2 linked regions of the Danio rerio genome follow. The protein of the gene in region 2 binds, or shares a complex with, the protein of the main gene of each other region. Links are inferred from orthologs where the notes say so. Each region holds a gene or a part of one and is shown on either strand. Other genes may lie near its edges.

Region 1 (3,832 bases), on a different chromosome or scaffold from region 2:
AACAACAATATAAGGCCTATGTGTAGGTCTAATGTTGGTTAAAATGCTTAATTCGGTATAGACTTGGAATGGTGGACTTAAACAGACATAAATATGTCCTGGTCATTAATGCACAGTGTGATGACATCAGAATACAACCATTCATAATTCTAAAGTTGGATTATAATATTCAAAAAAAAAAAAAAACATACAATCTAATCATACCTTCTCCGCAGCTCCCAAATGACCACTCTGTGCAACAAACTGAACGCTGTTTACAACTTTATTACCTGTTATTCACACTCTATGCAGGTTTTGTTCACTAAAGTTAACATCATTGGCGGGCTAGTGTCCTATCAGTAGTAAACATCAGATTCGTCAGATTAGGGGTCATTTCTTAGCCGCAAATACGTCATTGCATTATGACAGTAACAACATTTTTGGGTGAATTATACCTTGTAGATGCAGTGTGTGACACATTTATGCCATTTGGAGGTGTCCATGTTGCTGAGTAAAGTATGTAAAACAATATGAAGATTTGTGCAACCGCCTTTAAGCTTCTCTCCTCACCATGAAAATATAACTGGTAGAAAAGCTGAATTGAGATTGTGTGTAGGATCGAGATCGCAACCTTTTTTTGATTAATTGTGCAGCCCTGCCTGTAAAAAAAATTATGGAATACATAAAAACTATTTATGACACAGAAAAAGAAGTTTGGTTCACCTTGTCATGTTGAGTGCAACTGCCTTTCCTCTTGCGAGGGATGGTGACCTCAACCTTCGCCCTTAGTAAGGTCATGGCTGGAGTCACAAGAACCAGATTGGCCAGACCTTCCTGCATCACGACAGCGGCCACATCTGCTTTCTGAGCAGGATCACATGCCTGCTCTGTTGATTTAATAAAGGCAAGTTTAGAAATTATTAAGGCATTGCGTCAATTTAATGTATTTCACGTAAAAAAAAAATTTAAGGCTTTGTTCACCCCCCAAAAAAACTCGAATGACTTTGTTCACCAATGTTTCCAAGGTGCGCGTATAATACAGGCAGTATGATGTTTTGGCATTAGAGTCAGCAGAGCAACACACAAGCATTTGGAACTACAGTAAATAATGAGTAAATCAAAAGTTTTTGGATGAACTTTGCCTTTAGGTCATAGGTCTCAATCTCAATTCCTGGAGGGCCGCAGCTCTGCACAGTTTTCTCCAACCCTAATCAAACACAGCTGATCTAGTAGTGTCTACTCTGCTAGTCTTGAACAGCTTGATTTGTTGGATCAGCTGTGTTTGATTAGGGTTGAAGCAAAACTGTGCAGAGCTGCGGCCCTTCAGGAATCGAGTTTGAGACCTATGCTTTAAGTAAATGTAAAGAGCGAGGACAAATTGTTTTTAAAGCTTGATAGATCTGATTGCTCTGCATTTTTATGTGCCCAAAAGAAAGCTGAACGACTTCACAAAACACTCTTTGTTTACCAGAAGTAAAATAAACTAATTATTTGAGCCACTAAATATTATATCATTATTTTTTTAAACAAAATAATTTTACTTTTTATTTATTGACATTTTCACAAAGTACGCAAAATTTGTACAAGCAAAACTAGTTTAATTCAGTCAGAAAATGCAGCAAAAACACACCAACACATTACCAATTCTGTCCAACACCACGCTGTCCCAGACTTTTTTGGCGAGGGTAAACTTCCTGTTGAGCTCCAGCTCTATGGTATGATAGGCACCCATCTACATATGACACAATAGAAGCAACATGTCTCATTTTAAAGCAACGTTCACATTTCTACTATGACAACATAAGATAAGTGAGGGTGAATATTAGCTATAAATATATTTTCTCAGTTATTTAAAACATTTTTTTTTTTGCCAAGTTCAACAAGTTTTTACTACCAGCCATGTCACTGACAATTAATTTGTGCAGTCCCATAGAAAAAAAATAATAAATAATTTCTGGAAAAATGACAATCATTTCAGACGAAATTAGACAAAAATGTCTGCAATATGCATATAAAACTTAATTTTAAATAATAATATTATTATTAAATCATATATTTAAGTTGTAAGTGTAATTTAAAACTTAAATGACTAAAAAAACGACATCCAAACTTAAATAAAACAAGGCATAAGTATGATTGAAGCCTACACTTGCATTTGGAGATAAGAACAAAAAGAACATAACCGAACGAACTGTCATTTTAGATCATATAAACACGAGCAAGACTGTATAAACATAATTCAAAACTGTAATCTTTTATTTGTGCTATACCTACAATTACAACAAAAGATTGCGGTATTGCTAAATATAGAAAGCAAATGGTGACATTTCGGTAATCCAAGTCCCCATGATCAATTTTGAAAACAATTTTTGGATAAGAATAGACTATACATTACCTAATTTGTTTGCAATTTTCAGGTTCATGTAAAAAAATGTATATTTATGTATGTATATGGTGTTTTTTTTTTAGGTAGGACAAAGAGTGGAGCACAATATTGACTGTATGATTGGTCAGGACTGCAATCAAATGCTGGGAGAGCTAAAGTTAATTACAAAGTCACGAAAACAAATCTAAATGCATACTGACCTTCACATATTGGTTCTCCTGGATGTTTGTTCCTTTGACTCTGAGCTGGCAGGCTTGGGAATCAAAGTCTATGGTTTCCACACAAAGAGTCAATGTGGTGCGCACACGTGAACTGCCCACACTGCCCGTGGAAGACTCTGTCTGCACTTTCCTGTTTGTGACATCGAAATATTTTTATTAAGTAAACAAGTGAAATCTCTGATACTAAATGTGCTAAACCAAACCAAAAAAATAAATAAAATACAGTGTGATACAATTAAGACCCACCTGATGGTTGAAGCTCTGAGGCTGTCGCCCACCTGCAGTAGGTTGTAGGTGTGCCACATATCCTCTGCTTCGTCAGGTATTAGTGTCACCTGACTAAAAAAAAAACATAAAAATAGAAGAAATTACAACTAGGAGCCTTGGACTGACTGAAAAGGGAAATACTGAAATCTTGAACACCGGTTTTGCAACTTAAACGAAAACTAATTAAGTCTAATCTGAATGGTATTATAAATGTATATTTGTGTATTATACTCTATATACATATATTAGTACTATAGATGCTTAAAGAATTGTATAATAACTATTTATTCTAATTTAACAGACTATTGTAGTTTAATAAAAGAAACAAACTCTGAAACAAACAGTTATCATTAGCCCATTTTCGCCAATATCGTTTAAAACAGGAGTCTCAAACTCGCGGCCCGCGGGCCATTTGCGGCCCTCAGTGCAATATTTTGTGTCCCGCGCCGACCGCTGTACTCTGACAGAATCAGCGGAGCGGGGAGAGAGAGCGCTCCCCGCTCCGCTGATTCTATCCGTACACAGCGCGCTTGTCACTCAATGCGCGTTGTCGCGCGCGTTCTGATCAGCTGTGTTGTCGCGCGCGTACTCAAGAGCGGTGTTATCGCGCCCCTACTGAAGGGCGGGACTATGTGTGTCGCGTCGCAGAGGCACTTTTGATCATTTTGGATGGGCACTTTCTATGCAAGACTAAAAAGGGCATGTGCTCTGCACAGGTTGAGCCCTATGTGTGCACGTGCCTGCCCTGCATCTTATATATATTGATATTATAGGTAGATACAGACTGGTACAGACTGATGTGACTGGAGTGGGGTGGGGGTGTTTTATTTATACATATATACGCCTTTTTTTTAGGTGAGGGAATGGAAGTTTTGAGTGAGTTCCCCCACTTTTTTCCCTAGGACTTCAATAAGTCAAAGTACAGGTCTAGACTTAATGATGATCATCTTCAAGCCATACTGAGGGTCTCAACTGCTTC
Region 2 (3,832 bases):
GATGCTCCGCCTCTTTGCCCTTTTTTGACAGTTGGCCACACCTACTTATAGCTTCATTTGCTCTTTTCAGAAACCTATGAGTGACGTCACGGATACAACATCATATCTTTTACAGTCTATGGTCAAAATTAGATTTTTCACCAAAAATCTTTCCATTTGCTAAAACAGAGAAAGTTGTGGCCAAACTAAGCCTTAAAATGACCCCAGAGTGGATGAAAACATCCTAACAGCACACAAGAGATAAGATGCGTTTTTGCCAATCCAATCACAAGTGAATTATGCTAAATATTAGTCCAAGAATGCATTTTAAATGGTAATGACCAGGAAAAAATAAGACTTGAGATAACCTGAAGGTGAGAAACTTTACGTGAAAGTACCTGTGCTGCCCCTGTGATCATGTTCGGGATGAAGTCTTTGTGTCCTGGTGCGTCCATCAGAGTAACAACCTTTGAGTCAGTCTCAAACTTAGTCATGCCCACATCCATGGTCACTCCTCTGTAAAAGATAACGATGATGTTCAGTAACGCATGCTATTATAGATTGCTTTTACACACATTGATTGGCATCTGAATGTGTTTGTAATCAACCAACCTGTCCCTTTCCTCTCCTGTCTCATCCAGTACCCATGCATAGGCGAATGAGGCTTTGCCAGCTTTTTTGGCCTCCTGTTCATACTTATGCATGGTTCTCTTGTTAACGTTCCCCAGCAGATATAACAGATGACCCATGAGAGTGCTCTTGCCAGCATCTACATGTCCTACAAACACACAAAGCCCACATTTTCATTCATTGTATATACAGTTTTGATAACCAATGAAGTGACATTCAAACATACTTCAAGGGTGCATTGAATCAAAATGTTAAACTGTTCTCTGAAATCTACATAGTAGGTATGTGGCTTGGGTAAATTAACTAAATTCTCCAGAAACAGTTGTATATAATCTTTTATAACCATAGGAATTACAACTAGAATGAAAAGCTCAGTTTTGACCATATTTGGAATGATCATTAATATTAATTAGCTCTGTTCTGATAGTGTTTATCTCCGTCTCTTGCTCAAACACACAAAAACACACAATGGGATGTACTCTGAAAAATAACATTTAAAATAATAATACTTGATTTGTTATCACATAATTTTAATTGCGTAGATGGCTTTTAAAATAGTTTAAATAGTAGTAGTAGATAGGTCACTCACTCCTTCTAGCTAAAATAAACCTATATATTTGCCACTAGAGAAACCTAATAGAGTTGTGTATGAAATATTGGCTAACTTACAATTATATCTGACTAAAAGGCCTGACAGAGATGTAATTGGTTACATTTTGAAGCCTTAATGTATATGAAAACACAGATAAGATTTATTATTAACCACTCCATAAACCAGGCATGTACAAACTCGGCCCTGGAGGGCCGGTGTCCTGCAGTTTAGTTCCAACCCCGATCAGACGCACCTGAGCTAGCTAATCAAGCACTTACTAGGCTTTTTAGAGACATCCTTGCAGGTGTGTTGAGGCAAGTTGGAGCTAAAATCTGCAGGATATCGGCCCTCCAGGACCGAGTTTGGACACCTCTGGCATAAACAGATGACGTTTAATAAAGTGTACTGATGTCCTTTCATTTAAGAAAACACACAGTAAGAACTGAGTGGCATAACACAATGCATAAGCATGCATTCAACACTAACATTTAGCAGTTTGCATGTGTTTGTCGCTTCATTACAAACATAAGCAGCAAATTTCACAACATACAGGTTAATCTGACAAATGCCATAGTTAAACAGACCTTTTGTCTCTTCGGGGTGGTACTGAATACGTTTACAATCTATATATCCCGCATTTTGCATTCTGACATGCTGTGAACAGACCCAATGCTCTATAGGTCAAGCTTGTCTGCTTGCTTCCAAGAATGGCTCCTTTACTGTCTTAATAAATGGCTTAACGACTGGTCCGTTTTTAAAATAAGAGTCATAAGATACATTGTCAGTAGCCAATCAAACACAGTATGAGGCGCACATTTTAATGATACTGTATTTTGTTTTGATAAGCCTGTTTTCAATGTATTTTTTCCCAAGATGTACATGAAACGAAAAATCAATGATGTTTGAGGTTGACAGAATGACATTTCCATGTACTGAACTCTTTCTATTCAGCTATGCCTATCCAGATTTTCATTATATGGCACCTTTAAGTATAGCTTAAGGCTAACAAAGCAGTAAAGAAACATCATTTGATTGCAGATATATAAATGTTTGCACAAGCTCTGCAACACTCCAGTCAGGTCAACTTTATTTAAATAGCACTTTTCAATAGACTGTGTAAAAGCAAACAGCTTTATGGTACTAGAAGTGTCACTGTCTCTAGAAATGTCAATGTGTTTAGCAATTACAAACATGCAAAATGAGTACACCAAATGAGTGAATAAAAAAAAATGCTGATATGATAGCATACCTATGACCACCAGGTTGAGTAATGGTTTTCCTCCTTGTCTCTTCTCCAGTTCAGCACGGATGTTGAGCTGCTGTTTGCTTTTTCCGGATGGTCGAGTTGGGGTCGGAGCAGCAGAATCTTCAGTCACAGTCGACTGTTTGGATGGGGTTTCTGTGGTTGGTACAGCAGTGGCCTCTGGACTCGGCCCTCTGCGAAGCGAAGGAGCCACTCCGCCATTTTCCTCTGCACTATAAAAACGGACAAAAGCATATTATAATTTCTAACACAGCCTTATTCTTTTTCTTAAAGCAAATTAAAAACATGCCACAGTAAATCCAAGAAGGCTATAATAGATCATTAATTTCATATATCATACCGTGTTATGGAAAAGGGTTAAACCTTCCCAATCTATGTTGTTGTAAATAGGTAACCTACAGTTCAAATGGGTTGATAAGATTAAACGCACAAATAAAATTAAACTATAGAAGTAATTTATGCTAACCAAAAGCATATAATATAAATATAAATTAATAAATAGATAAATAAATAATCCATGTGTGACAATATAAACATCTTCATTGCAGCTTTTGGTCAAATTAATGAATCACATATCAATATACGTACAAGCTTCTTCCAAACTACACAACAAAAATCTTCCTGACCTCAAATATAAGTCATTGTGCGATTTTGTAGATTGAACAATTTTTAGGGCATTAAAATTATTATTTTAAAACAAAAAATGCCACCTTTTACCTTCTAATTTCATTTGATTGTGTGTAAACTTATTGTTGTGAGTCCTCTGATAGTTTAACCTATTAAATGGAAGTACAGTGGCTGCTCCACCTGCAGAAGCCCCTACACCCTTCTTTCTGAGTTCATCGGGTGTGGTCTGTGTCTGGAGGAGTGGGAGTGATAGGCTGTGGCTTTGTGTTTGCGAGTTTGAGATTAATCTACATGCACCAGCCATCTCTGTGGTTTACTGCTGTCCCAGAATGCAATGCAGGTAGATAAGAGTTGGACTGGATTGAATTCAGCACCATTAATGATTGTAACTGAAAGAGCTATAAATTAAAGGAAGAGTTCACCCAAAATGAAAACAGCATCATCTTTTGCTCACCCTCCACTTTGTACATATATGAGTGGCAAGCAAGTAGTTGATGGTAACTATGGAAGCTGATGAATATAGAGAACTGTTTGATCACCAACATTTTACAAAGAAAAACAACCACACTGGTTTAGGTGAGTAAATAAAAATTGAGTCAATTTTTGAGTGAACGGTCACTTTAAACAGTTCAGACAGAATATTTTGGTCTGCAAATACTTCAAAAAAGCATGTTAACAAATGAAACTAATCTCAATTGTACTACAAGAAACAATGAAACCATGTAATTAACTTATTTGTC

What was found.
Region 1: hbs1l (region 2) and pelo share a complex: the UniProt entries of both Homo sapiens proteins name them as parts of the pelota-HBS1L complex. The link is inferred for Danio rerio from reciprocal best matches to the Homo sapiens genes HBS1L and PELO.

What each region holds. Positions count from the first base shown.
Region 1 is NC_133187.1:13,771,373-13,775,204, forward strand, and holds part of pelo (protein pelota homolog), read right to left. Parts: intron 2,926-3,832; coding exon 2,833-2,925; intron 2,717-2,832; coding exon 2,566-2,716; intron 1,712-2,565; coding exon 1,621-1,711; intron 867-1,620; coding exon 703-866; intron 1-702. UniProt on the Homo sapiens protein: Component of the Pelota-HBS1L complex, a complex that recognizes stalled ribosomes and triggers the No-Go Decay (NGD) pathway.
Region 2 is NC_133198.1:34,725,184-34,729,015, forward strand, and holds part of hbs1l (HBS1-like protein), read right to left. Parts: intron 2,678-3,832; coding exon 2,451-2,677; intron 758-2,450; coding exon 592-757; intron 496-591; coding exon 378-495; intron 1-377. UniProt on the Homo sapiens protein: GTPase component of the Pelota-HBS1L complex, a complex that recognizes stalled ribosomes and triggers the No-Go Decay (NGD) pathway.